Linked DNA regions of Cricetulus griseus. The protein of the gene in region 1 interacts with the protein of each later gene in a pairwise test. Links are inferred from orthologs where the notes say so. Each region holds a gene or a part of one and is shown on either strand. Other genes may lie near its edges. The genes, in order: Prkab2, Pygm, Adamtsl4, Bend5, cone-rod homeobox protein, Csnk2b and Tle5.

What was found.
Region 2: the proteins of Prkab2 (region 1) and Pygm interact in binary tests that used the Homo sapiens proteins (3 or more experiments, as listed by UniProt). The link is inferred for Cricetulus griseus from reciprocal best matches to the Homo sapiens genes PRKAB2 and PYGM.
Region 3: the proteins of Prkab2 (region 1) and Adamtsl4 interact in binary tests that used the Homo sapiens proteins (3 or more experiments, as listed by UniProt). The link is inferred for Cricetulus griseus from reciprocal best matches to the Homo sapiens genes PRKAB2 and ADAMTSL4.
Region 4: the proteins of Prkab2 (region 1) and Bend5 interact in binary tests that used the Homo sapiens proteins (3 or more experiments, as listed by UniProt). The link is inferred for Cricetulus griseus from reciprocal best matches to the Homo sapiens genes PRKAB2 and BEND5.
Region 5: the proteins of Prkab2 (region 1) and cone-rod homeobox protein interact in binary tests that used the Homo sapiens proteins (3 or more experiments, as listed by UniProt). The link is inferred for Cricetulus griseus from reciprocal best matches to the Homo sapiens genes PRKAB2 and CRX.
Region 6: the proteins of Prkab2 (region 1) and Csnk2b interact in a two-hybrid assay, tested with the Homo sapiens proteins (2 studies listed by BioGRID and IntAct). The link is inferred for Cricetulus griseus from reciprocal best matches to the Homo sapiens genes PRKAB2 and CSNK2B.
Region 7: the proteins of Prkab2 (region 1) and Tle5 interact in binary tests that used the Homo sapiens proteins (3 or more experiments, as listed by UniProt). The two-hybrid records come from large-scale screens. The link is inferred for Cricetulus griseus from reciprocal best matches to the Homo sapiens genes PRKAB2 and TLE5.

Annotation. Positions count from the first base shown.
Region 1 is NW_023276806.1:58,812,360-58,815,993, reverse strand, and holds part of Prkab2 (5'-AMP-activated protein kinase subunit beta-2), read left to right. Parts: intron 1-2,022; coding exon 2,023-2,156; intron 2,157-2,763; coding exon 2,764-2,832; intron 2,833-3,634. UniProt on the Homo sapiens protein: Non-catalytic subunit of AMP-activated protein kinase (AMPK), an energy sensor protein kinase that plays a key role in regulating cellular energy metabolism.
Region 2 is NC_048596.1:52,970,499-52,974,562, reverse strand, and holds the start of Pygm (glycogen phosphorylase, muscle form), read left to right. Parts: upstream 1-1,141; 5' UTR 1,142-1,569; coding exon 1,570-1,941; intron 1,942-2,946; coding exon 2,947-3,048; intron 3,049-3,120; coding exon 3,121-3,199; intron 3,200-3,281; coding exon 3,282-3,385; intron 3,386-3,671; coding exon 3,672-3,803; intron 3,804-4,064. UniProt on the Homo sapiens protein: Allosteric enzyme that catalyzes the rate-limiting step in glycogen catabolism, the phosphorolytic cleavage of glycogen to produce glucose-1-phosphate, and plays a central role in maintaining cellular and organismal glucose homeostasis.
Region 3 is NW_023276806.1:60,816,817-60,821,083, reverse strand, and holds the start of Adamtsl4 (ADAMTS-like protein 4), read right to left. Parts: upstream 2,826-4,267; 5' UTR 2,599-2,825; intron 2,523-2,598; exon of another isoform or gene 2,403-2,522; intron 1,688-2,402; 5' UTR 1,554-1,687; intron 223-1,553; 5' UTR 147-222; coding exon 127-146; intron 1-126. UniProt on the Homo sapiens protein: Positive regulation of apoptosis. May facilitate FBN1 microfibril biogenesis.
Region 4 is NC_048595.1:38,521,380-38,525,013, forward strand, and holds part of Bend5 (BEN domain-containing protein 5), read right to left. Parts: intron 2,662-3,634; coding exon 2,448-2,661; intron 1-2,447. UniProt on the Homo sapiens protein: Acts as a transcriptional repressor.
Region 5 is NC_048602.1:10,446,575-10,450,687, forward strand, and holds the start of cone-rod homeobox protein, read right to left. Parts: upstream 2,871-4,113; 5' UTR 2,844-2,870; coding exon 2,744-2,843; intron 1,065-2,743; coding exon 913-1,064; intron 1-912. UniProt on the Homo sapiens protein: Transcription factor that binds and transactivates the sequence 5'-TAATC[CA]-3' which is found upstream of several photoreceptor-specific genes, including the opsin genes.
Region 6 is NW_023276806.1:231,642,898-231,647,041, forward strand, and holds the start of Csnk2b (casein kinase II subunit beta), read right to left. Parts: upstream 2,878-4,144; 5' UTR 2,729-2,877; intron 2,176-2,728; 5' UTR 2,165-2,175; coding exon 2,093-2,164; intron 1,578-2,092; coding exon 1,475-1,577; intron 702-1,474; coding exon 586-701; intron 208-585; coding exon 132-207; intron 6-131; coding exon 1-5. UniProt on the Homo sapiens protein: Regulatory subunit of casein kinase II/CK2.
Region 7 is NC_048598.1:102,308,392-102,312,750, reverse strand, and holds the start of Tle5 (TLE family member 5), read right to left. Parts: upstream 2,917-4,359; 5' UTR 2,740-2,916; coding exon 2,713-2,739; intron 1,262-2,712; coding exon 1,164-1,261; intron 1-1,163. UniProt on the Homo sapiens protein: Transcriptional corepressor. Acts as a dominant repressor towards other family members. Inhibits NF-kappa-B-regulated gene expression. May be required for the initiation and maintenance of the differentiated state.

The DNA.
Region 1 (3,634 bases):
TTCCCCAAAGTCTTTATAGCTGTGCTTGTTCGCTGTAGTAGCAGAGGCACGTTTTGCAAACCATATCCATAGTTACTATCTCATTACTGTATGATGGAGTTGTGCCTGCCTGGAGAATTGCACACTTTCTGCACTGAGCATATGGCCTCTTGCATACAAAGTCTGCCTCTGCTACTTGTTATGCCATCGTGCAACTGACTCCCAGCAGTAAAATTGAGGGCTTGGACCCTCAGTGAGCCTCTGTCATATTGTCTGAAGTAGAGCACATAGCAGAATCTCAAGGACAAGGGACAAATTGTCCATAGCACAGTAACTACCAATTTAGAAAAAAAAAATGTTTCATTATATAAACTCAGAAAGTTATGGTGAGCATTCTTATTGGCTGGAGGGGTGGTGATCTTAAAAGGTTTATATTCTGAGGCCACTAGGACTATGATTATATTATGATCTGCAAAGTAACCAAAGAATATTTGACAGTCAATCATAATTATGTAATGGGAAGACTAAAACACTTTCGGGTTCACCCAGTTTCCTAATCCAGTGATGTAAGGCATAGAATCCATTTATTAGGAATATACAGATAATGGGTGTAGGCATGTACATAACTTTTCAATGTCCTACTTGGATTTTTTAGTGCCATGGACAGCACTTGAAAATTGTCCTGTGTTATTTACCAATGGTGTTTGTGGATATTTAATACAATGTTGTTGCTACTTCTTTCCTTTTGCCTTATATGTTGAAGCAAATTTGAGTTATTAAAATAGACTTACTAAAATCTTTTCTTTGGAACTTTAAAATTGTGAAACAAAGAAAACATAGTTCATTTAATTTTTGTAAATTTAACCTGAATGCTTTTCATTTTTTAAGTAGAATTCCGGTACCATAAAACACATATTTTTTAATTGTAAAATTTATCCTTTTATTTATTTATTTTTTTGATTATTGAATTTTAAAACCCATCTCTTTCTCCTCTCTGCCCTGTGTCAGTCACAAAGCTTCTGCCATATGCATTTGCCTGTTCTGGACAGTTCATACAAATGTAACCATGCACCATGTGGCTTCTTTCATTTAGCAGGCTTCTGGGGCTTTCATCCTTGTTGAAACATGTATCAGTACTTTGCTTGTTTGTGGCTGAATAGAAGTCCACGGTATGACAGTTCCTTCTTGGTTGTCCATCCCTTGTCGACAGACATTTGTTTTCTGCTTGGAGCTCTTACAAATTTTGCTTAAGAACACTCATGGTCAGATTTTTTTTTTTGGGGGGGGTAGCTTATGTTTTATCTTAGGTGATAAACCCAATATTGTAATTACTGGGTCACAAAGTTTCACTGTTTGAGGATGACTATACTGTTTTCCAAAGTGGTTGCACTATTGTTCATTTCTACCAGTGGTGGAAATACTGTAGTTTGAAGCCACAGTATTTGCCAGTGTTTCCCAGTACTTGCCATTTCAGCGGCAGCCATCCCACTGAGTATGAAGTGGTATTTTTTGTGGCTTACATCTACACTTCCTTGACTACAGCTACAGTGTGTTCTGTCTGCTGTAATCATTGTAGACTTAGAGTGTATAACGTTGTTGTCTGTTACTTTGGTAGAAATAAAATGAAATCTAATCTTTTCACATTGAGTTCACAGAGCATCTTTATTTCTACTATCACTTTGATTTTTTTCAAAAGCACTATGACTTGGGAAGATTTTTATCTTGAGGATGAGGAAACTGACCATATTAAAGGGATCTGTCCAAGGACATATCGCTGACAAATGGAGTTGGTTTCCTGGAGCCTAGGTGCTGGCCTCTCATCACTTCCTTACATCATGTTGCCTTGTTGGGAATCTTCCTGGTCCATGTTCAGGACAACTCAGACATTTCCTTTGCTCGCTTACAGTTACAGGCCAGTAGGTCACAAGTCCGTTGCTTCAGGACCTATATTACATTTAAGATTAATGGCTGTGTTGATAGTTTTCCTCATGCGTTATTACTAACCCTTCAACTTTCCTTCACGTTTGCATGAATATTTTTCAGACCTATCCAGCTCACCCCCAGGGCCTTATGGTCAAGAAATGTATGTGTTTCGATCTGAGGAGAGATTCAAATCCCCACCCATTCTGCCCCCTCACCTACTCCAAGTTATTCTTAACAAGGACACTAATATTTCAGTGAGTATCCTGAGCAGGTTGCTAAAGCGTCTGGGGAATCTTAGGACCATTGAGGCCAAACTTCAGGAATCTTGGGGCTGGAATTAGGACCCAGCTTTGTCAAGGCAATGAAATAAGCCATGTGCATGTCAGCAGCACTGTAGAATACTTTTTCCAAGACTGAACTTTAGGTACCAATAGCGGAATTTATAGTTGTTTCTGTTTCTAGTAAAATCAGAACCAAACTATGCTGGAATTAATGTCTACTATGACTTCTAGTCTATCACAAGATAAGGGTACTCTCACTAGGGGTTATACAGAATTCACAACTTTTTATGTAAGTAAATTTTATCTCTATTTTACTTAATTGATGGTTGATTCCCAAACCATCTATACCTGTCAGCAAGGTTTTTGTTTTAATTCTATTAAGGAAAGTTAGCAGATGTTGGGGCTTAGCATTTCACTCTTAGATTTAGGATTTTTCCAGATTTTATGATGTGGGAATACATAATTCATAGGAGACAAAGTGTTACCTATTTAGAGTTCTTAACAGTTCAAAGGAACAGTTAACTTGGTTTTGTCTGCATTTAATCACATTTGTGGGGGGTGGGGCTGTTTTTTCTCCTAGTGTGACCCAGCCTTACTTCCTGAACCCAATCATGTTATGCTGAACCATCTCTATGCGCTGTCCATTAAGGTAAGTGGTGGCCGCGACGCTCCACAGCCTCCCGAGTGGAAGGGTAAGAGTCACACATGCTTTTCGGTGGTAACTTGCTTTCTGCGGCTTTTAAAGCTGCAGTTGACACTGACAGTCAAGTTACAGAAGAGCCGTCTTTTCATACCTCAAGGCTGTTTGATTTTAAACTTCAGTCTCCTTTGAAGCTTCCCCCACCCCTCAGACAGGGTTTCTCTGTGTAATAGCTCTAGCTGTCCTGGAACTTGCTTTGTAGACCAGGCTGGCCTTGAACTCACTGAGATTCACCTGACTCTGCCTCCCAAGTGCTGGGATTAAAGGTGTGCACACCACCACCCATCAAACAAATTATTTGTTTTTGGTTCTGGGCTCAAGCTAGCTGAACTGTCAGTGATGGGGACCTTTCTGCTTCCCAGTGTCTGTGGGTGGCTGGAACCTTTGTACCACCTGTTTACTTAAGTTGGAGTTCAGGTAGTTGGATTCCATGTGCAGAAAATCAGGTATAGCTTCCTTCAACAAGTTCTTGAGTAAGACAGTAGAGCTTCCTAAGATATGGAATCAGCTGCAATGAGATGCCCTGCTTGTGTATACCACACGTTTCTATCGCTTGTATAGTAGATAGGGAGTTGGTTTTACCAGACGTCTATGTTTTTCCCACCCTTTCCCTAGAGTCCTTAGTTTCTCTGTTGCTTTAGTATCTTTGTGGCTTGAATGTTAGCATAAAGGTATGTAGTTCTGTGGCTGGCTAAGCCGGTCCTTGAGGGAACTCCTTGGAGCAGTTGGTGAGCAACAGATTGAGAGGTAT
Region 2 (4,064 bases), on another chromosome or scaffold:
AGAGAAAGCGTCCAGTCGCCTACCCACCTGCCAGTGGATCATGGGGAGAACTCGGTGCTGGGATCCAGGGCTTGGTTAGTTTGTTGGGGTTGGTGGTGCTAGAAAGTGAGCACAGGGACCAGGCAAGTGCTCTAACCCTGAGCCATATCCCAGCCCTCTTTGTATTATGAGATTGTATCTCAGTGATTTGCCCAGGCTGCCCTTGAGTACTTGTAGCCCAAGCAAGCTCCTGGCTAGGTGTGGTAATGCACACCTTTAGCTCAAGCACTTGAGAGGCAGAGGCCAGATGGTCTCTGTGAGTTTAAGGCTAGTATGGTTTACATAGCAAGTTTCAGGATGTCCAGGGCTACAGAGTGAGACCCTCAAAATAACTAATAGAAAAATAAAAAAAAAATAGGATAAGATTTGAATTTATGGTCCTGCTGTGGCTGAGACTGCACAGACTGATGACACTTGGGGGAGTCACGAACTGGTGGGGAATGCTGTCTCACTCTTGCAGACCCACAGGACTATAGTTCCCAGTAGCCCCTGCTTCAGGCTGCTTCCTCAGACAAAGCTGTCCTGTAACCCGACTATCCCTCTTGAAAAGGTCACTTCAGAGCTCCTTGAGAGACAGCAACAGGAGGAAGCTCAGAGCACTGTGCTTTGGTGGGGGTGGGGTGAGCGCAGTGGCCCTCTATCTTAGGCATGCATCCTTCCACACAGCACTCCCTGCAACCCAGGGTCTTGGTCTCTTTACTTTTTGAATTTATTTTATGTGCATTGGTGTTTTGCCTGCACATGTGGTCTGTGTGGGGGCTGCCATGTGGGTTCTGGGAATTGAACCTGTGTCCTCTGAAAGAGGACCCCTGGCTTCCCTTTTTCACAGCTGCCCACCCTCCTCTGAACTAGCAGCACCTCTCTGTTTAGCGCACATTCATTCTCAACTTGTGGCTCCTCCTCTTGCCCATGCACATGACTTCCCCGCCTGTGTGCAGGTGTCCCAGCCAGGTGAGTTGTGGCTTTGACCAGCTCTACAGAAGCAGAAGTCCTTACACTCTAGACAAGTGTCACAAGCAAGCCTGCTGCTCTGAGGGAAGGAAAATGTGTCTGGCACTTGTGACAACCCCTTGGCCTTTTTTTTTTTTTTTTTTTTTTTTTAAGTTTTCGAGACAAGGTTTCTCTGTGTAGCTTTGAGGACCAGGTTGGCCTTGAACTCCCAGAGATCTGCCTGCCTCTGCCTACCAAATTCTGGGATTAAAGGTGTAAGCCACCACTGCCTGACTCCCCTTGGCCTCTTTAAGGAGGGTCCACAATCCAGTCCTACCTTTAGTCTATAGCTCAGGAAAGAGTCTAGATTAGATATGTCATAGACAAGGTCTCAACCAGAATGTTTTAGGCATGCCTCGTCCCGCTCTCCAATCCTGTCTCCAATCCTCCAAAAGCAAGGGGCCAGAAGACAAGGCCAGAGGCTTAGGAAACCTAGAAGTGGGTCAGCTGTGAACACGCCCCTCCTTCCTCCCTCCCTCCCTTCCTCTCCTCCACTTGCCCCCAAAATAGCTCCCTGAGCTTCAAGGCCAAGACCCTCCCATGTCCGGGGAGGCGTGTCATGCTGCCCTGAGCCAGGCTTTAAATCCCCTCACAGCTGAGCAGCTCCACTCCCTGGCTGGAGGCACCGAGGCCGTCAGTCTGTCCAGTCCCGTCTGCCTTCCTGCAGCCATGTCCAGACCTCTTTCAGACCAGGATAAGAGAAAGCAAATCAGTGTTCGCGGCCTGGCCGGCGTGGAGAATGTGTCTGAGCTGAAAAAGAACTTCAACCGACACCTACATTTCACCCTGGTCAAGGACCGAAATGTGGCCACCCCCAGAGATTACTATTTTGCTTTGGCCCACACCGTGCGGGACCACCTCGTGGGACGTTGGATCCGCACACAGCAGCATTACTATGAAAAGGACCCAAAGGTGCTACAGTAGGGGACACCCTGCGTGGGAAATGAGCTGGGAGTGAGGCCTGGATGTGAGCTGTCCTTTCCTGAAGCCCAAGTTTTCTACAGCAAGCTAAATTGCTGTTTTAACCTCCCTGGGGTTGGAGGATCCAGGGGTGCTGGACAGAAAGAATACTGAGGAGGGAGCCCCGGGGTGCTCAGGGTAGGCAGGCTGCTTACATATGTGCCAGACAAGGTTGGAGGGGGTTGCTGGTGGGCATGAAATGTATCCCCCTGTCACCCAGTTTGGACCTGGCATGGAAGGACATGTCATCAAATGTGTGTATGGCACAGTCTGCTTGTGCCACAGGCAGGGCACTGCTGGGGCAGCTGGGGCAGCAGGTATCAAATGTCTGGTAGGGTCACTGGTAAATGTCAGGAACCTAAAACTCCACAACAGGAGTGGGGGAGGGGCAGGGAGGGACCCAGGAAACGGGGAGACTGGGCACCCTCAGCATCTTTATGCTTCTGTTCATCTCTGGACGGAGGCTTGAGTTGAAGGAAACAACCGTGCATGGACAGGAGATGGCAGGTCTAGCCCTGAGTCACCATGTGACCTTGAAAATGACTTTTTCCTCTGGGCCTTGGCAATGCCTTCTGGGGGAGCACTCAGAGGTGCTTCTCAATGTCCTGACTTCCTGATGGGTTACATTAGGAGGGGTATGTACCTCGGAAGGAGTCCCTGCTTTTCACTAGCACCTTAATCCCTGAGATAGGCCTCCGCAGCCTCTTTCTCTGGAAGAGGAAACCGAGGCCAGATGAAAAGGCATTTCAAAGGCATGTAGGGACCAGTGCCTTTCTTGTCTACTGGACCCCCAAATCTGAGTGGCTCTTCTGAGCAGGGAGAAAGGAATTGGTGGCAGAGATGAGTCATGCTGGGTCTTGGCAAGTAAGACAGGAGGAGGCTAAGAGGTTCAGAGGCAGCTGTGCCTGGCTGAATGTCAATGGGTGGCCCTGATCCCTCTTCCCTGTCTCTGGGCAGAGGATCTACTACCTGTCTTTGGAATTCTACATGGGACGGACGCTTCAGAACACTATGGTGAACCTGGCCTTGGAGAACGCCTGTGATGAGGCTACTTACCAGGTGGGGGAAGCACTTAAGGTTGGGGGTTCCCATGCTGGCACTTTGGCCTGACCGCTGCCACCCTTCTCTCAGCTGGGTTTGGACATGGAGGAGCTGGAGGAGATCGAGGAAGATGCAGGGCTGGGGAATGGCGGCCTGGGGCGCCTGGCAGGTGAATACACAGCTTGTGGGGGTGGGGTGGAGCAGTCAGTCCCTCTTGTTAGATTCCTGATACCCACTTCCTGTACCCATAGCCTGCTTCTTGGACTCCATGGCTACACTGGGACTAGCTGCCTATGGATATGGGATCCGCTATGAATTTGGGATTTTTAATCAGAAGATCTGTGGGGGCTGGCAGGTGAGCAGCCCTGACCCCAGCCTTGGGGTCCCTCACTTGGTTATCCACCTCTGGATAGACTATGAACCCACTCCAGCTCTCCAGACAAACATTCTTGCCTCTTGCCTCAGAGCCAGCTGGTGACCCCCCCAGAACAGGTGGTCCACCCCTGTGGAATGCTTAGGATATACTGTGTCCTGCTGAGTGGCTCACCAAGCCAGGACACTGTTCCTGCGCTGTTCCGCCACTCACAGGACGTGAGTCCCCACAGCTCATGCTGTCTGTGTTGTTCCCATTGACCCTCTAGATGGAAGAGGCTGATGACTGGCTTCGCTATGGCAACCCTTGGGAGAAGGCCCGCCCTGAGTTCACGCTGCCTGTACATTTCTATGGCCGAGTGGAGCACACCAGCCAGGGTGCCAAATGGGTGGACACACAGGTGAAGAAGAAGAAGATGGGTACAGGTTCTGGGGGGGACTTAGTGAGAGGCAGAAGGGAGGAGAGCTCCTAGAGAAAATAGGACATGGAAACAAACTGAAGGTTCTTGAATCTACTGTCATTTTACAAAGGAGGGCACTAAGGCTCAGAGAGGTTAAGCGATATACTGGAGGTCACACAGCCAGAGCTGGGAGATATTAGTCAGGGTTACAGGGAGGCCAGGCAAAGTGTCAACCCTGGAAGGAGGAGGGCATTGTCTTTG
Region 3 (4,267 bases), about 2.0 Mb from region 1:
AGACCAGGCTAGCCTCAAACTCACAGAGATCTACTTGCCTCTACCTCCCAAGTTTAAAGTGTGTGCCACAACTGCCGGGCCCCTTCCCTGCTCTTACTATTAGAGACTGACAGCCCTTGCTCTTACCTGCCCAGCCAGGTCTCCATTGCTCTCCCTTGACTGCCCCTGGGCTGGGAGGCAGGGGCAGGTTAGCTACTCTGGCATCTGGGCACGGAGGATACTCTGAGGAAGAAGCACAGTGGTTACCCCTGCAGATTGCCGGAAGACTAAAGGGCTGTCCCAGCACAGCACCAGCAGAGTGGAGGGAAAACTGGTCCACCCCTCTAGGACCTAAGGGTGGGAGCAATAAGGAACACTGTCTTTGTCATCTGCTGAGTCAAGGGTGGGGGTCTGACCTCAGCCTTCCAGTTCAGTTTAGTTCCCTCCCTGTGGCCCAAGATGGACTTAGCTCCTCTGGAGGCCCGAGGAAGGGCAGGGTGGAGGAAGGGGGAACCAGGAGGTTCTTCCTCCCAGAGCTCCAGGACCTAGAGGAGGCAGGCTATGCCAGGTACCCCTATGAGGTACCAGAGGGCCCTTGACACCAAGTGTGGGGGCAAAAGCCTTAATCCCACCATTTGAGTCGGGGAGCAGAAGATCCAGCCTGGGTGATGCAAGACCCTTATCTCAAAAAAAAAAAAAACAAAAAAACAAAAACAACAACAACAACAAAAAAAACTCTTTCCCCCTTAAAAAAAAAAAAAGTAAAAATAAAAATAAAAAACCCGAGTATTTGTTTCCTACCTGCCTCCCAGACCTTTCTCCCTCTCTTAGATAAAGCTCCTTATGAAGGAACAGCCAGGCACATCTGGGTGACCACAGGCACTTTTTTGTCCAAGGGATAAACTAAGTGGGCTAATGGCTTCATCTTTAGAGAAGAGGCGGTGACTTAACCTCCCTGTGGGTGCCAGCATCCACGAGGCCTTGGCTCGTGGCAACCTAGTTCATGTACAGCTAGTTTTCTTCTTCTTCTTTTTTTTTCTTCCGATGTTCAGCCAAAATGGCTGGGCACTTAGGAAGGAGAGAGATGCAGCCATAGCTGCTCATCCTTCCCAGTCACCAGCTTCGCCTTCTGGTATACCCGGGAAGTCCACCCTGAAGTCTAGCCTTGAATGCTGTAGAGAGGGGCTTCCATAGCCTGTCTCTCCCAAGGCCCTGTCCTCCAGCCCCCTCCTTCTCTTTGAGGCCCTTCCCACCCACACCCCTCATCCCATCTCAACTCTGCTTTCCAGGAAAAACACTGTTTCTGTTGGATCTAAATGGCACCACCAGAGGAATCCAAGCATTGCTGGCCAACACAGGGCCAGCTCAGGGCAGGCAAAGAACAGAGGGAAAGCAAAAGCTAGCCAAACCCCCACTCCCGGGACCCCAGAACTTGGGAATTTGAAGACAGGAACAAAGTGGCTGAGCCCTCTCCTTCCCCTTGCTGGGCCAGCCACTGAGGTCCACAACAGCCCTGGTGGAAAAGGAGCCATGTTCAACCCCTCGAAGTTGGAAGAAGGAGTGATGGGCACCACCTGTCTCTCTCTTGTCCGATGCTGGTCCCCTCTCCACCTCCTGCTTCTCTCTGCTCCCCCAGGTCTGTCCCTGCTGCCTCTCCGTGGTCTACCCAGTACACATAATCCTGTCCTGAGCTGGCTTTGGCAGCTCCCTGGAGAAGTGAGGGGTGGGGGGTGATGAGAGCTCCTGGGGCCAGGGCCAGGCCTGGCTCCCTCTCTGGAAAAGTCCACCCCACCCTCCCCTGCATAGGGAAGCAGGAGACTCCCCCTCCCGGCACAAATGCATGCTTGTTGTGCCAAGGGTGAGGAAGACAGAAGTTGGAGGTGGCCACCCTGAAGTCAAGGTGGACTCTGGTAAGGACCAGCCTAGGCTGCTCCTGCTCACACCCCACACTGGGCCGTTGACAGCAAGGAAAGTGACCTGTATGGAGCTAACCCCTTCACCCTTGGGCTCGCCTCGGGCAAATGAGCTAGGAAGAAAGGAGCGCTAGTAAGGGCTGGACTGGCAAAGGGGAGTTGCTGTCCTGTTAGAATTCCATCCCAACAGGTGTCTGTCTTTCCCCCCAACCTCTCCCAAAAGGCTGTGCTGTGCGAAGAGCCCCACCCGCATCCCTCCCGGACACCCTATCCCTGCGTTCTCGGAGTCAGGCGTAGGGGTGCATCCTCCCGAAGCCCCTCGGGGAGGAGCGGGTGGCGCCGGCTGCAGGGAGGTCCCGTATGTTTTCCAACTTCACTATGTGACTTAATAGGAATCTTGGCTCAAGCCCTCGCCCGGGTAATGGGACCAGACCCCCTCCCCAGGAATTCGGCCCAGGGTCCGCTGTTCCGTGACCATCAGAGCCCAGGCGGGGGTCGGGGAGGCTCTACCTTCTCTGCGCCCGCTCTCTCCAGCTGCCCTCCTCGGCCGCCACCAGGGCCGGGAGCCCGGGGACAGCGCCGCCCGCCCGCGGCAGGCTCCTCCCCGTGCCGCCCGCGCCCCGCCCGCCACGCGCCGGCCCCCGACGGCTAGAGGCCATGCGGGCATCGTTCCCGCCCCCACCCCAGGGTTTGGGACCCCACCGACCCTGTCAGAGCAGCCTTCGGGTGGAGCTTGTACACGAAGAGCACGGGCAAGGGGGATTTACAAACTGGACCCATGTGGCCCTCCTCAAGCTGAGATCCACCGAAGCCGAGGCCCTCTCCTCCACGCAGCCCGTGCCATCTCCTCCTCTTTTCCCATGCTGGGCAGTGAACCGTGTGGCTCTGATGGCCGAGGATGTCTGTGAGCCTCGGTTTCTTCATCCATAAAATTTTACACCCCGGAGCTTAGCGGAAGGAATGCACGTTGAATTATGAGTCAGACAAATTTGGATTTGAATTTCAGCTCGAGAGCTTGCCAGCTCTGTGGTCTTTCACTAGCACTTCAACATCAGTGCGGCAGCAGTGTCGTCTGTAGAATGGGAGACTTTGATGTGTATATTAGGCTTGGAAATGTTTGTCCATCTTCATGTGGAATAATGACTCAGAAGGAGTGCCCGAGTGAAGAAGAAGGGATGAGAAAGAGTTTTACCTTTTTATGCTTTTTATTCTATTTATATTCTGCTTGTACGTCTTTTCGTAGGTAGATGTTTGTTTATTTGTTTGTTTATTTATTTTGCTGTTGTTGTTCGTTTTGGTTTTTCTGAGACAGAGTTTCTCTTTGTAACAGGTCTGGCTGTCTTGGAACTCACTCTGTATACCAGGGTGTCCTCGAACTCACTAGATTCTCCTGCCTCTGCCTGTGCTGGGATCAAAGGTGTGTGCCACCACCACCTGGCTTGGTTGTTTATTTTTGAGGCAGGGTCCTACTATTAAGTCCTGAGCCACCTGGACCTCACTATGTAGAGATCCACCTGCTTCTGCTCCTGGAAGTGTTGGAATTAAAGTCGTACACCACCATATCAGTCCAACCTTGTAAATTTTTTTTGAAAACATACTGGGCATGGTAGTGCATGCTTCTAATCTCAGTTCTTGGTGGACTGAGGCAGGAGGACCACTGCAAGTTCAAGACCAGCCTAGGAAACGCAGCAAGTTCTAGGGTAGACTGGCCTACAGAGTAAGTTCCAAGACAGCCAAGGCTATTACACAGGGGAAACCCTGTCTTGAAAAATCTAAAAAAATAAAGCAAAAACACCCAATCAAGGTTAAAGAGATGACTCAGCCATTAAAGGCCAGGTTCACAACCTAAATGTCAAAACACACAAATATAGAAGTTTTAGCAACATTGTCTTGTGACCCCACAAAACAACAGAGGCCCTTGGTGCCCCGCCTAACACTTCTTGTATAGCTCTTGCTGAGGGCATAGAAGTTAGTCTCCATCCCGAAAGTGCTCAGTCTAATAGCACAGACCCTGCCAGTGAACATTGACCACTTTGGAGTTAATATGGGGCTCTGTGGACGCAGGAGCTATCTCAAAGATGATGGGTGTGTCTATAAAACAGTCCTGGGGCTGGGGATGTAACTTAGTGAGCTTTACACGCAGGAAGCCCAGTTTCCATTCCCAGCCCTGAAAAAGGCAGAATGCTACTGTTTGTTTTTGAGACAGGCCCTGTGATAACAATAGGACAGGTTGATGGGAACTCACTGTGTAGCCCAAGCTGACCCCAAACTTGAACTCTGGCTTCAGCCAGCTGAGCATGGGATTACAGTGTTGGGATAAGCCAGGATTTTTAACCTTATTTGAAATTTAACCTGCATATTTTGTTTTCTCAACA
Region 4 (3,634 bases), on another chromosome or scaffold:
AATGGAGACGAGACAGAAAGGTAATTATCAAATAAGCAAGAAATGCTGTGCAGAACCTTTATTAACAGGGGCTGTGTAACAGACAGCACTGGAGGCAGGAGGATGACTAGGAGCTTGTGATCAGCTTGGTCTACACAGTAAGACCCTGTCTCAAAAACCAAAAACCAAGATGAAGCACATAGGTTTTCAGGCAAGGCAACAAAAGAAGAGGGGAAATGATTAGTAAATGCCTAAAGATTCATATTATCTGAAGAGAGAAAGTGAAAAGTCAGATCTATTGTGGGGCAGGATCAGTTCCAACATCTCAGGGCTTCATGTGTTCAAGCCTTGTTCAGGGCTGGTACTGCACTTGGCAATGAACACGGGGGAGTCAGCTACAGTTGCTTGTACCAGAGGCAGACTCTGGCAGTTAATCTCAGACCCAAACATGACAGTTATCTGAGGGTACCCGGGACCTGCTAGGTCACACCCTGACAAGGCATACAGCTGGAGGTTGGCACTGACTGGGCGAAACAGGGCTGCCTTCCGGAGAAGGCCTTTCTCAGGACGGCCTCCTGAATAAAGCTGCACCATTGTAGACATCAGCCAACTAAAGGTTCTCTCTTATTATCTAAAAATAAGTGGCTGCCTTCTTCAATTAATCATGGGCTAACCAGGAGGGGAGACACCTGTATTACATGGGGAAGGCTACAGACTAGAGTGAGAATATGTGGGGTTGAATCCAGACTCAGACACCCTATAGCTGTGGCCTTAGCTTAGCTGCATAATCACACAGTGTCTTTCCACATTGACCTCCAGAACATACAATATAACTGCACATTTCCCAACCTTAGTCTGTGACAATGCTGGCTCTCCTTGATCTTCCCAGGGGACACTCCACCAACTGATGGCTTTTGGGATCTCTGCAGACCCAAGGGGCCTACGATTCCTTTCACTTCCTTGTCAGACTGGCTCTTACTCACCTCCCTGGCCTCACTCACAACTGCAAAGCCACTTGAGCCACTTCACCTGAGTGTGCTGGCCTCTGCCCTGCAGCCTATTCTGCCTGACCCACCATTCCTCCACCTGTCACAGGCTGCCTTTTCCAGCCTAACTCCCAGCTGGACGCCATCTGTTCTAACAGGCCTTTTCCCAAACAGAGCTGATGCGGCCCTTTGTCCCATCACATCTTGTGTGATGCTCAGAGGACCCAAAGCAGCCTGACTGCATCATAGTTACATTTGTCATTGGGACCCAAAATGTGCTCAACTGTAGGACCTGCTCAAACAGGACATTCACCCGTGTCTTACTTTCTTCGTTGAAATGTGGTAGACCTGGCCATTTATGATTAGGAACAGACTCCAAAGCCGCCCTTGTCCTCCTGGATTTCCTCCTCCTATTATTACCTGGGAAAATGTGCCCACTACCTCCGTGACCCAGTTTCTTTAACGGTGAAAAGAATAGTAACAGCAGCCAACAGTAGGGGTGTTGAGAGCACAGTGAGTTAATATATTTAAAACTGCTTAGTACAGATATTATTTTAATAAAATGGGTTACAACAATTACTCAGAATAATTAGCACTTACTATATTCACTCTTCTCCTTATACTATACTCCTTACTTTGTTCTGACCTACAGTACTGTTATAATATATATACATTCCTCATGAGACTGAGCTCCTTGTAGATGCTCTCTGTGTCTTGTCCTTTGTGTTCTCAAAACCCAGGAGAGGGTCTAGAAAAGAGTAAGAACTTAGGGAATGGATGGGGAAGGGAAAGAAGAGGGTGAGAAGGTAAGAAAATGGAGGAAGGAAAGAGGAAGGGAAAGAAGGCTGGAAGGGAAGGAGGAGGGAGGCAGGGAAGATGAATGGATAAGGAGTATGGGGTAACACCATATCTTTGGGTGACAAGACTCCCTGGCTCTCTGCCCGCCTTCCCCAACACCAGGAAGGAACCTGTATCAACTATCAACTGCTGCTTGTCTCTCTGTTCTAGACACGGCTAAAATAAGAAGTTTCCCCAGCCTTGACCTTTACTGCTCTGTAGACACACCCCTTTCCCATCTGCACTCCTCTGTTCAAGACACTTCTGCCTCCCGAGGTACCTCTGCACTCTCAGCCCATCTCCTGCTGAGGAGCACTGAAGGCCCTTATTCGGCAACCTTCTCTCCCTGGGATTCTCCCCAGCTTTTCCAGAGGGGCATCCTCCCTTCCTGACAATTCCCAGCACAAACACTGTCCCTCTTGCATGGTATGCTACACCCTTGAGCTATATTTGTGTCCATATTCACTTGTCCTGTCCAGTGTGAGATCTCTGGTGGCAGCTATGATGTCTGCCTCTATGCTCCTGTGTCCCACTGGGGGTCTGGCATACAGGGGCTTCAGTAAGCATTCACCAAATTGAAACAATACATTTCTGACAGAGCAAAGGACAGGATGTCCAGCATTGTGCTTCCACTGGGTATGCTACCTCTGACGATGCTTAGCTTGTGAGGAGAGAGGGGTGGCTTCGGGATTGCATCCTTCTTTTTTTTTGTGGCGACTCCTGTGACACTTCTGTTTTTCAGAACATCTGTTCCCCAGATCATGACTGCCAAGTTCTTTGTGTACTTAGAATCTCCTTGGGTTACTTGTAGCTGGTGCCATTTCTCCTCATCAACCCAAATCCCGCTTCCCAGATGAACCTGAAAGAGATAACACCACACCTGTTTAGTCCCACAGGAAGGCAGCCGGAGGCTGCTCTTGTCCTTTAAAAACACTACTTCTCCACTCTAAGGGATCATGCCAAAGAGGCAATAACGGCATCACTTACAGAGCTCTTGCAATGTAGCAGGCCTTATTCTAAAGTTCTGACTTCACTCTCCTAAACAGAAGGTGCTATGATACACTTGTCACTTCCGATGGGAAGAGCAAGTTCAGTTATGTGAAGTGACTTTAGAAGTCACTCAACTGATGAGTGGCACATCTGGGATTCGTGCTATTATCACATGGGTGCTCTGAGCCTGACCCATCTCAGTGTATTATGTGCTCGTGTGTGTATGTTATACGCTAGAAAGATTAGACCCTCTTCTACCTGCACATTCTGAGGCTCACCCCCTGCTAACATGGTGGAGGCTGCTTGCAGGACTCACCCAGCTATAGCATTCCCTGGTGCCCAGGCCTCCTCTCCAAGATTCTGAATTGTTTGGTCTGGGTGTGGCTCAGACACCAGGATGGTTTAGCTCCCTAGATAGTTCCAATTTAGAGCTAAGTTATAAATCTCTGCCAGCTGGCAGGAGCAGAGCAGCTGCCTGGCTCTGCAGCCAGCAGGCGTGGAGTTGGGTGAGTCCTTCTCCAGCTCAAACTGCAGCGTCCCTATCTACGAAGTGGGAGACTTGGATTTCATCTCAAAGTTCATCTCTCTGGCTCAGAACACCTAGGATTTTAAGAAATTAAATGCAACCACAATGTATCCGGTTTGATTTGGGTAGCGCACACATCAGAACACCATCTCGAGCTTCCTAGAAGAGAGACAGCCAGAGGGATGATGAAAGCCAAGAAATCACTGTACCCTCTCTACTTCCATCAATTAACTAAAAAATTTGTCCCCAGTTGTGGCTCTTAACAACTTACAGACTAATACTAATGTTTATCATTAAAAAAAATTTTTTTTTGACC
Region 5 (4,113 bases), on another chromosome or scaffold:
TAGTAAGACCTTGCCTCAAAATAATTTTAGCCAGGAGGTGGTAGGGCATGTCTTTAATCCCTGGCACTCAGGAGACAGCAAGACTGGCAGATCTCTGTGAGTTCAAGGTCAGCCTGGGTCTAGAAAGCAAGTTCCAAGACATCCAGAGCTGTTACACAGAGAAACCCAGTCATGGAAAACAAAATATAGTTTTAAGATTAAAAACAAATAAAAAAAATCCAGGCAGGGGTGGCACTCTTTTAATCCCAGCACTTGGGAGGCAGAGGCAAGCAGATCTCTGAGTTCGAGGCCAGCCTGGTCTACAGAGTCAGTTCCAGGACACTGAGAACCCTGTCTTTGTTTTTTTGTTTTTTTTTTTTTTGGTGGGGAGGGGGGGTTCGAGGCAGGGTTTCTCTGTGTAGCTTTGGAACCTGTCCTGGCACTCGCTCTGGAACCAGGCTGGCCTCGAACTCACAGAGATCCACCTGCCTCCCGAGTGCTGGGATTAAAGGCGTGCGGCACCAATGCCCGGCTGCTACTTCATAATTGTGACTGTTACTCTGTGGCCTGTCTTTCCTCCACTCATTCTGGATCTAATAAGGACCCATCGAAGATCATAGTAAGGGACTTGGCGGTGATGTCACACGCCTTTATTCCCAGCATTTGGGCGGCAGAAGCAAGTAGATCTGAGTTCAAGGCCAGCCTGGTCTACAAAGTGAGTTCCAGGATAGACTCCTGAGAAACCCTGTCTCAAACAGGAGGAGGAGGAGGAGGAGGAGGAGGAGGAGGAGGAGGGGGAGGAAGAGGAAGAGGAAGAAGAAGAAAAAGAAGAAAAAGGAGAAAAAGAAAAAGGAGAGAGAGAGAGAGAGAGAGAGAGAGAGAGAGAGAGAGAGAGAGATCACAGTAAAGCAGCAGAGTTCCAGAACATCCTACCTGGACCCTGGACTCAGGCAGGTTGATCTTGAGAGCCACCTCCTCGCGTGCATACACATCCGGGTACTGGGTCTTAGAGAACAGGGCCTCCAGTTCCTCCAGCTGGCTTCTGGTGAACGTGGTTCTCTCCCGCCGCTGCTTCCTAGGGGCGCCTAGGTTTGGGAGAATGAAAGAACCCTCAGGTTAGCTGGGTCTGCTCGCTGGATGCCCTGATCCAGTGGGACACCAGCCCTGTCCTTTCTGCCCAGACAAGGGGCTGTGTTTATTCCCCGGCCTTCTAGCACCGGCTCAAGTCTCCAGAGCTTTCCAGTCAAATGTCCACAGGAGGGAACTGCTTTTAGCCCTGCAAGGATTTGCCCCTTTTTGTTCTCAATTCTCTCCAACCTCCTTTCCCTCCTCCGCCCTCTTCCTCCTCTTCCTCTCTCTTCTCCCCTTCTCTTTCATTACACTATGTAGCCCATACCGACCCTAAAATCCTGGGATTGCCTGGTCCTCCTACCTCAGCCTCCCAAATAGCTGGGAGTTCAGGCAGGAGCCACTGCACCAGACTCCGCTCCTGAACCTTATTATTCATAAAAACATATTCATGGCCAGGCAGTGGTGGCGCACGCCTTTGATCCCAACACTCCGGAGGCAGAGTTCGGGGCCATCCTGGTCTACAAAGGGAGTTCCAGAACAGGCTTCAAGGCTACACAGAGAAACCCTGTCTCAAAGAACCAAAAAAAGGCCTGGCATTGGTGGCGCACGCCTTTAATCCCAGCACACGGGAGGCAGAGGTAGGCGGATCTCTGTGAGTTCGAGGTCAGCCTGGTCTACAAAGCGAGTGCCAGGATAGGCTCCAAAGCTACACAGAGAAACCCTGTCTCAAAAAAACAAAAACAAAAAAAGAAAGAAAGACACATTCGGTAGAAACATGTTGTTAAAAACCAAGCACTTCAGCCCATAAAAGCGATGTCTCTATGACTCAATATAAAAGAAAGAAGGTGGGCTAGCAAGACTGCAGTGTCAATTATGTACAAGCCTGAAGACCTGAGTTCAGTCCCTGGGACCCACAAGGTAGAAGGAAAGAAATGACTCCCAAAAGTCATCTCAGACCTCTGCAAGACAGCCGTGGCTCCTGCTTTCCATCCTGCATGCAAAAACTCATGCAATCGTTTTTTTATTCTCTAAACAAAAAAAAAAAAAAAAAAGGTGGCTCCTGCCTTTAATCCCAGCACTCGGGAGACAGAGGCAGGAAGATCTCTGTGAGATCAAGACCAGCCTGGCCTACAAGAGCTAATTCCAGGACAGCCTCCAAAGCTGCAGAGAAACCCTGTCTCAACAAAACAAAAGAAAAAAAAAATGTGGTCTACATAGTGAGTTTCAGGCCAGCCATGGCTACATAGTGAGAATTTGTCTCAAAAATGAACGAAGGAGGAAAAAAAAGAAAGAAATAGAAAAGAGAACTGTTAAATAAGTACCATAGTACAGCATGATGGTGCAGGACTATAATCCCAGGCCTCTAGAGACTGAACCAGGAGGCTGGGGGTGTGGCTCCATGGTAGAGCCCCCTGCTTAGAATCCCAGAGTTGAAGGGCTGGAGGCGTGGCTCAGTGGAAAAGCACATGCCTAAAACCCCCCAGTGAGGGTGACTCACAGCTCCATAGTAAAGTACTTGCCTAGAATCCAAGAAAGCCCTGGATTCCAGCCCAACAAGCTCTACTCCAAAAATAAGAGACGGAGACAAAGAAAAGATAGTACCGTGGTCATTAGAATGCTCACTTCTTTTAGAAATAAAGTTTTACAGACTGATGGAAAAACAAGACAGAGATGGGAAGAGGAGCACACTTACTTGAGTATGGGACTGCCTGGTGCATCAGGTCCACACTGGGGCCATTCAGAGCCAAGGCATTGACCGAATAGTGAGGTCCCGGGTTCATATACGCCATCATGATCTTCTGTGACTGGGACCCAGATGGGGGCACCTACAAGAGAAAGGGGTGTTCACTCTTCCCACTGCCAGGGCACTGACAAATTGATACTCACATCCTGTTCAGGGGCTCTTCTCAGGAACCATTCTCACCAGTAATCCAATCTCGTCTCTCTCTTTCTCTTTCTCCCTCTCGTTTTTTAGAATCCAAGTGTTGGCTATGGTACATTCATTTAATTCCTTAAACACTCACACTGGTGAGACAGAGGCAGGCAGATGACTGTGAGTTCAAGACCAGCATGGTCTACAGAGTGAGTTTCAGGACCTTAGAATATAGCTTTAGCTGTCCTGGAACTCCTAATTGTTTGTTTGTTTGTTTTGTTCTGTTTTTCCGAGACAGGGTTTCCTCGGTTGCCTTGGCTGTCCTGGAACTCACTCTATAGTCCAGGATGGCCTCAAACTCAGAGATCCACCTACCTACCTCTGCCTCCAGAGTGCTGGGATTAAAGTATGCACCACCCTTCCCGGCTCTCAATTTGTAGACAAGGCCACAATACCCAACTCAAAAAGAAAAGAAATGTTTTGCCAGGTGGTGGTGGCACACGCCTTTAATTCCAGCACTTGGGAGGCACAGGTGGGTGGATCTTTGTGAATTCAAGGCCAGCCTGGTCCACAGAGCCAGTTCCAGGACAGCCAGAGCTGTTACAGAGAAACCCTGTCTGGAGGGCAGGGGTGGGGTGGGGGGTTCTTTTTGGTTTTGTGCAACAGGGTTTCCTGTTGCGGGCTGACCTGACATTAAACTAGCCAAGGTTGATTTGATATTTCTGACCCTCCTGTCTCCACCGCACAAGTGCTAAGACTCTAGACATTAGCCATCACTCCAAGTGTGGGGCAGGTATGTGTATAGAAGCAGAGGGGAGGCCAAAATTCAACCCCAAATTTGTCCATCAGGCCACCTCATATTTTCATTTCATTAGTTTATTTTATTTTTGAAAGGTCTTATATACCTCGGGTTGGCCTTAAATTTACTAAGTGCCTGAGGATGACCTTGAACTCCCGATCCTCTTATTTCCACCTTCCGGGTGCCAAAATCACAGGTCAGCACCACCATACCTGGATTATATGGTGCTGGGTACTGAACCCAGGTCTTCACCAATGCTCGGACACACACTCTACCTAATAAGCTACGTCCCCAGTTCCCACCTTGGTTTTTTGTTTTTGTGTGTGTGTTTGTGTGTGTGTGTGTGTGTGTGTGTGTGTGTGTGTGTGTGTGTGTGTGTGTGTTTTGTTTT
Region 6 (4,144 bases), about 170 Mb from region 1:
AAGGCCTGGGACACAGCCAGACCCTGAAGACCAGGTACCCCAAGTCCTCCCACCCTCCCACAGGGCTCAGGCACTGACCACATCAACCTGACTGGCAAGTAGTGCCCTCCTCTCCCCTCTCCAACACTCACCGATGGGAAGCATTGGCTGGTTCTCACAGTACACACGAGGACAGTAGCCAAAGTCTCCCTGCTGGTACTTTTCCAACTGAGGTGTGCAAAATGGAAGGGACTGGTGAGTACGTGTGCAGAGCACCTCACTTCCCCACCTCCCAGGCCTCCCACCTCTAACTAGAAGCCCTTCTTTGTCAAGACAGGTCCTCAAGCTTCCTTCTCAACTGCTTTCCTCAAGTTGGCAGGCTGCAGAACACAAGGGCCATTTGCTCTCTCTGTTCCCTATCCATGGCCTCATCTCCCTCCCTGAAAACAATACCTTCAGTAGGACCCTCAGTGAGGATTGGATTCTCAGCCCAGCTCTGGGCTTCTCCTCGTCTCCTCTGCTAGACTTCTTGACAGGTACGAAACATGCCTTCTGCCTCATGCACCTGTTTGTCTCACTGCCTCAGAAGCAGGAGCAGAGCCTCACCATTTGGGCGATGCCTCGGTTGGTGAGGATGTATCGGGCGTGGATCAACCCATAAAGCATCTCCGCTGCCTGTTCAATCAGGTCACTCTGGTTGGGGTTGTCTTCCAGCTCTTCATCTGAAAGGTGGGATGGCCACTTGTACCCCACCTTATCCCCAAGGTGGCCTCCTACAGTTTATCCAGCACCTGTTTCTGACACACCCTATCCATCACCCAGGCCATCAGCACTGCCCTCTCTCCACACCTCTCTAGTCTCTGCCAGCTTCTTCCCCTTCCCAACACATAAACATAATTGCAGAGGGTGGCACTCTAGACCAGCAGGAGGAAAGCAGCAGCACACAACACACCAGAAGACTGGCATTGTGAGAGACAGTGGAGTTACATTTGGAGAGCATGGAAACAAATGTTACCAGTCCCTGAAGGCAAGGGTCAGGTAGGGAATCAAAATAATGAAGAAGCCAGGCAGTGGTGTATGTGCCATACAAAACCCAGCACGTGGAGGCCAAGGCAGGAAGAGCAAGTGGTAAAGTCCAGTTTGGGTTATGAATGGAGAGGAGAGGTGGGGGAGAAAACACATAAACAAACAAACAAGCGAGCAAGAGACTCGGGAATAGACAGAAGAGCTAGAGAATCAAAAGGAAATTTAGAAATTCAAGAAGCGGTTGGGCAGTGGTGGCACATGCATTTAACACCAGCACTCGGGAGGTAGAGGCAGGTGAATCTCTGTGAGTTCAAGGCCAGAGAAACCCTTCTGGAAAAACCGAAAAAGAAAAGAGAAAAATTCAAGAAGCAAGCGAGCAGAGACCAGAATAAGAAGAAACCAAAGCACACACAAGTGCACATATCATGGACCCCACACGCAGCGACGGCCCTGGGGGCAGGCACGTTACCAGGCTCCAGGTCCAAGATCATGTCTAGAGCTTGCCGGTAGTGAGGCACTTGCTCATTGAGTCCAGTCAGATTAAACTTGTCCTGGATGTAGTCCTCATCCACCTACCGGGACAGGGGAGTCAAGAGGTTGAAACTAGTGTGGGAAGCCCCGTCTTTCACCTGGCCCAGGAGACAAACGACCGCATCGGCTCCCCTTGTTTCCTATTCTCACTTCTGCAGAGGTGTTCCGTCTCCCACAGAAACCGCAGCTCTCTTCTTTCCGGGCCAACAAGGTACAGCGCATTATTCAACTTGTCTCCCTCCTCTAAAGGACCCGGGTTTGCTCTCTGCTCTGGGACATCAGACTCTCACAGGCATTGATCATTTCCTACGTTACCACACTGTGGTTTTCATGTTACATGAAACATTTTAACTTTCCTGACGGTCACCAGCGATACCTCTGTTAGCCATGCACAGAGTGAACCCCAGCGCTCAGGAGACTGAGGCACTAGGATTGCCAGGAGTTCAAGGACAGTCTGGGCTACACAGTCAGCTTCGGGGGAAATCTCATCTCAGACAACATACAACGAAAACACCGAGGGCACGTGGAGAGGGCCCAGAAAGCCAGCTAAACTCACCTCACAGAAGAACTCATTACCACGGAGCCCACAGAACCAGGAAATCCAGGAAACCTCCTCAGAGCTACTCATCTTTACGTCGGCTGAGGAAGAAGGGCGTTAAGTGGAGACCAGGCTGTTTCTTGGTCTCTTCCCTCCTCCCACACACACGGTCTCCTCAACGGCGGAGGAATCCGAGGCCACTGGCGTTGAGTGGCCCCGGCCCGTGAAGCACCGCTCTCCACGCCTCTCTTCTTTACCTCAGCCCCCCGACAGCGTGGTGAGAACCAGCTCCACTCCTTCCCAGGGGGTGACAGGTCCCGATCTGTGGGTGTTGCCCGGCGCGAGGCCAGGCCCCGGCCCCCCGGCCCCCCGGCCCCCGGCCGCGCGCGGCCCGCGCGGCCCCACCGAGGCACTCGCCTGGCGCCCGTCCCGAGGCTTCCCGAGTCCATCCTCCCCCCCGAGCCCGCCTCTCGGGGCCTCGCGGCGCCGGCGGGAGCCCCGCACCCCCGCGGGACCCACGAGCGTCCCCACAGCCGCTCCTCTCCTCAGGCCACCCGGCCTCCTTCGGCCGCCGACCCGGTCCCTTCCTTCCTCGCCCCCACATCTCGGAGCGCGGAGCCCGGCGCCGCGGCGCGGGGACGAGCGCAGACTCACCGGCCGGACGGGGACTGGGACTGGGGCGGGGAAGGGGAGCCGAGCTTCGAAGGAACCGCAGCGACCGCTACAGCGCAGGAAGCCGAGCGGACCGCGGCAGGCGAAGTGGGGAGGGGGGAAGGGGAACTGGGGAGGGTGGGGAGGGAGAGAGGGCAACGCGCAGGCGCCGAGGACCGCCCCTGCCCCTAGGGACGCCGGGAAATGGAGTCCCGTAGAGAGGCAGAAAGTGACGCGATGCGGGGACGGCGAACCACCAATCCCAAGAGTCCGCGCGCATGACTCCGGGGTCGCGAGGCCCTAGCGGAAGCCGCCTGGGGGCGGGGCGAGCCGAGCCTCCACCGGAAGCGGAAGCCAGGTTACAGCCGCCTTCCCGACCGGGAAGCCTGGGAAATATAGTCCTACGCGCTTTGGGCTCGGCAGGCTGCGAGCCGGCGCCGGCGGCCGCTGAGGTCCCCGCTGCGCGCCCGCTCCGTCCCGCTCCGGTCGTCCCTGCCGCCCCGGGGACTGACACCGTCGCCGAGGACCAGGCATGCGGCCCGGAGGTGCGGCTCGGAGTGCGGGGCTGAGGTCGCAGGGCTTGGGCTGCCGAGCCGGGCGGCGGGGGCGGGGGACCTGCTGCACCGCCCCGCGCGCTAACCTGAGGTGGCGCCTGCCATTCTGCCGCTCATCCCTTTGCACTTCTCCATGTGTTGCTGCTGCTTGCTGCTGCTGCTGCTGTTGCTGCTGCTGCTGCTGCTGCGGACCCCACGTGAGCTGCTTGCTCTTCGAGCCCTGCTCGGAGTAGCGGTGAGGGGCGCCGTGGTGTTAGCGCGTCTCGCGGCTGCCCGGCATCCCGCGGCTCCCTGGCGTCCTCAGGCCTCCCGGCTCCACAAGAGGGGCTTGGAGCGGGAGGGACCACGTCGAGGGTGGCGAAGAGCATTGTGGGGGCGTTATGTAAAAGTAGGACCCCAACCGACAGGTCCCCCTGGGCCCTCGCGCTGTCTGGGCACGCGATGCCTGACGCGGATGCTTGGGAAGGTTCCAGCGCGGGAAACTGAACCTTGTGGGTGTTTTGTTGTGGTTGGCTGCTGCGCATGCGTCTCTGTGCCAGGTGGGTGTCGGATTGTGTCAACTCTTGCAGATGACGAGAGCGCCATTTTTCGGTACGGAAGTGACAGTGCAACGCTTTTACCCCGACACCTTCTGGAATGATGTCACGCCTGTTTTTCTTTGGGAAAAGGAGACACCCCCCCCCAGCCCCACGTAAGATCGAGCAAGATTTAAAAGTCCCGGCCGATATTCCCTAACGGTATGTGTTACAGGGTGGGAAAAGGTTTTCAGAGACAGCCTGCTGTTTTTGTTTGAAGGGAGAAGGGAGTAGAACGCAGGGCCCCTAGACAAGTGCCTGGGGGAACATTCTTTCCTATTATCATTTTT
Region 7 (4,359 bases), on another chromosome or scaffold:
GGTTGGACGTGGCTCAGCCATAAGCACCAAGGCAAAGGAGGAAAATGATAAAAAGTATCTCCAGGGAACTTATTCTCAGTGTGGATGCTGTTCCCGAGTTCGACTTCCCCCAGCCAGGAACTCAGGCCCGGGCTCAGAGAAGGCATCCCTGAGGAGGGCGGGGCCACGGACCCGAGTGGGAGACCATGGGGGGGGGCACACCTGTGCCCTCTCTAAAATGACAAATGCTGGGGCTGTGGCCTGGTAGGTAGCTTCCACTGACCTAGCACATGAAGCTCCACTGGGCCCCTTCTTGACTGTCATCTACTGTTAGCAGCTCAAGGTCATCCTTGGCTACAAAGGGAGCTGGAGGAAGCCTGGACTACATGAGACCCTGTCTCAAAATAAATACCAAAAAGTAAAAATAATAAATTAAAAAAAAATCACAAACCCAAGATTTCCTTTTTCTTGGAGAACTCTGAGTATCTTTCAAAGACTATTACTATTATTACTATTTGTTTTCTGAGACATAGGTTTGCTCTGTACCTCAGGCTAGCCCAAAACGCCTCCATCCTCCTCCTGTGTGTCTGAGAACTGAGTGTTGGGCCGCACCCCCATGCTCACTCACTGTTGGGAGTACAGGGTCAAATGGGGACCCCAGGCCACGCTTTCCCCAGTCCCCTACTTCAGGCTGCTTCTGTGCTGTGCAGCCCTCGGAAATGGCTGAGCTCTCTGGGCTTCAGAGTGATTAGTTTCACACATGAGAAACAGGAAAACAGTTTGTGGGAGCCCGTCAGTTGGATGGTCTGTGGGACACCAGCAAGCTCCCCCACTCCATAAGTGGACAGAAAGAGAAGGAGGGGCTGTGTGGACCTTGGCTGATTAATAACCCTCTCTGGACACCCACTGCAGCCTGTGTTAAAATGAGAGCATCACGCTCTCTGGGGACCCGGCTTCTGAAGCAACACACACTGTGTGCCTCGGTTTCCCCCTCCACACTACGGGGCTGCTGGTTTGGTTTTGGACTCAGGGTGGTATGTATCCCAGGCTGGCCTCTAACTTGCTAAGTAGTTGAAGATGACCTTGAACTGCTGACCCTCAAGCCTCCACCCCCTCCCAGCCTTTCTCCAGACCACAGATAACCCCTACATTCTGGGGGTGCGGCCTTCCTGGCGCGGGCTCACCTGTGGTACTGGGCTTGCAGCAGCTGGAATTCATCTTTGATCCGGTCGCAGGAGTCGGAGGTGGTGAACTTGAGCTGCTGGGGGAGGTGGGAGGAGCCCTGCGGGTGCGGGTGAGGGTGCGGGAGGGTGAGGGCCTGCTTGCCCGCCCACGCCCTACTTCCTGGCTGAGCTCTGCAGGCCCCAGCAGCACTCTCCTAGGAAGCCTGCAGGGGGCTGGGAGGCCCCCAGGCAAGGAGGCGCTTTTACCGTTGGTCATTTTGGGGGGCAGGCACCCCATCCTCCAGCGGCCTCTGAGGGGTCCCCGGGAAGCCCCTCTACGTCAAACAGGACACAGGCCTGCCTTCAAAGCCAGCTTGGAAGATGCACCTAGCTACCACCCCACACTTCCTGGGCGTACCCCCATCACACCTGTTTCCTCAGGGGACTCCCCCCAAAGCTGCCCAGCCCCAGGGGTGCCTCGCGGGGTTCCCCCCAGCCCCAGTGAAAGCCATGGGAGGAAGACAGGCCTGGGGTCAGGGAGGCAGATGGTAAATGTTAGGGTGCAGGGGCGGGCCGAGAGGTGTCCCTGGGGGTGAGGGGATGCACAGGGCTGGCATCTGAGGACACTGGGCCAGGAGTTGGGGTGTAAGGTTTTCGGATCTGGGGAGCACAGTTAGAGTCTGGGGTCAAGGCTGGGAGCAGGGTGGGGGCTGCCGGGCCACCGGGAGCTGGGGTGGGAGGGATGTGCGGGGGGTCGGCGCCTGGAGCTGGGGGAGGGCGGGCGTGGGGGGTCCTCGGGCTCCGGACAGGGGCAGAGGCACAGTGGGCGTTATAAAGGCGCAGGGTCCCCCACACTGCGGTACTGAGGGTGCAGGATGGGGGCTGGGAGGTGGCAGGCCTCTGGGGTGCGAGGCCTGCAGCTGCAGGACACAGGGCCGGGCTGGGGGGTGGCGCTGGGCCCGGATGGTGACGCCAGGCCCGAAAGGGCTCGGGGGAGAGGCAGTGGGTACGGAGCCTATATTCTGGGGTGCGGGGCAGCCGACTTGGGGGCAGGGATGGAAGTGCAGGGCCTTGGACTTGGGGGCAGGCTGGTCTGGGGCCATTAGCGAGCTGGTGCGGAGGGGTGCGGGAGCGCAGAGGTGGCGGTGCAAGGTCTCAGGCTGGAGGACACGTGCGGCCTGGGCTTGGGGTGCTGCAGCCCTGGGCCTGAGCCCCAGGGCTGGGAGACAGGCCGGATGCGGCTGGAGTGGGGTGCGGGGCCCCGGGCTGAGAGACAGGCTGGTCCGGAGTCGGGATGGGCAGGCAGCACGGGGTGGGCTCGAGGCCGGGATCAAAGTTCAGGGGTCCGGGCTGAAGGATGCAGTGCTGGGCCGGTGGGGTGCGCACGGCCTGGGTGGTTGGGTGCAAAGACCCCGGGGACAGCGCCGGTGGGAGCCCCTGGGGCAGGCCCTGGGCGGGGAGACAGGCGGGATCCGAGCTCCGGGGGTTCAGTGAGCAGAGCTGGGGATGTAGGGCGAGCACCGGGGGTGCAGGGCGAGCTCCGGGGTGCAGAGCGCGGGGTCCCCCTTACCGAGTGCCGGCTTTGCGGAAACATCATGTCAGTCGCGGGGGGCGCGGGCTGCGCCCCGGCTCGGGCGGCTCGGGGGGCGCCGGGCGGCCGCGCTTTGTCCCCGATCGGCAGCTCCGGGGCCCCGCGTCCCGCCTCCTGCGCCGCCCGCCGCCCGCCCGCGCCGCCCGCGCTATTGTGTAATGGCGACGCGGTGCCGCCCGGGCTCCCGCTCCACCTGCCGCGCCCGGCACTGCGCAGGCCGGACGCCCCACCCGTGACCTTGGCCCCGCGCGCCCCGCCCCCGCCGCGGCCCCGAGCCCTGGCCCGAAGCCTGCCTCGATCCCCCACTCCACTCTCAGGCCCCAGACCCACAGTCTGAGTGCCCAGACCCCAAGGTGCATTTATGAATCGCCTACGGTGTGCCTCGCCCTCTCTGGAGTGGGGAGGGGAGGCTTGGCACGGCTGGGGGCACGGTGATACCCGTCCCACGGAGGTAGGAAGGGGCCAGGCCTGTCACCACTGACTGAAGTGTACAGGCTGGAGGACCAAGAGTTCCAGGCCAATCTGCGCTACAAAACACCCAATCTCAAAACAGCAACAGAAAGTAAAAGACTTGAGTGATGGTGCAAGGCTTTAATCCCAGTGCAAGGTAGGTTGAGACAGGTGGAAGCCAGCCTGATCTACACAGTGAGTTCCCATACAGCCTGGGCTACATGAGCCTCCGTCTCAAAAATAACAAAAGTTAGAGACCTACTGGAAACAGAGGTGGTGCACACCTTTTAATTCCAGCGCTCCGGAGGCCCAGAGGCAGGCAGATCTCTCTGAGTTTGAGGCTAGCCTGGCCAGGATTGCATGAGCCCTTTCTCAAGAATAATTAAAATAAAAACATAAATATATAAAAGGAAAATAGTTCCCGGGGCTAATTAGTGCCCAACATTTCAGAGCAAGCTGAAGCAGAGGGATTCCTACAATTTCTGGCCAGCCTGAGCTGTATGGCAATTGTCTGTCCCATACTTGAGACAGACCCTGACAAAAGTCGACTGTTATGCACAGGTGACCCACAAAGATCAGAGAGCAGAGGTGCCGGGGCGTTGATGGCACACGCCTTTAATTCCAGCACTCGGGAGGCAGAGGCAGGCAGATCTCTGTGAGTTCGAGGCCAGCCTGCACCCCAGAGCGAGTGCCAGGATAGGCTGCAAAGCTACACAGAGAAACCCTGTCTCGGAAAACCGAGAGAGAGAGAGAGAGAGAGAGAGAGAGAGAGAGAGAGAGAGAGAGAGAGCAGAAACAATAGGCCCAATAGGCCTGGTCCACTAGGATGCCCAGCCCCAGTGAGGAGCTAAGGGGGGGGGGTATGCAGTTGAGGGGAAGAGGGAGCATGGAGACTCTCTGGCCCATAGGACAAGGACAAAGCCCCTGGGACAGAACTCACACACTGGACCCCAGGAGGCAAGGCCGCTGCTCATGGCAGGGCTTCTGGTAACAGTCCCACTGGTGAGTTTGACACTATCTTATTTAATGAAAATAGGGTCACATGTAACCCAGGCTGGCCTGGAACTCTGTAGCAGAGGATAACCCTGAATCCATGCCTCTCCTGTACCAGGCCGGCTTTCCCTATAGCTATCCTTTTGTCCTTTGTCTCACTTTGGGACGTACAGCCCCGGTTTC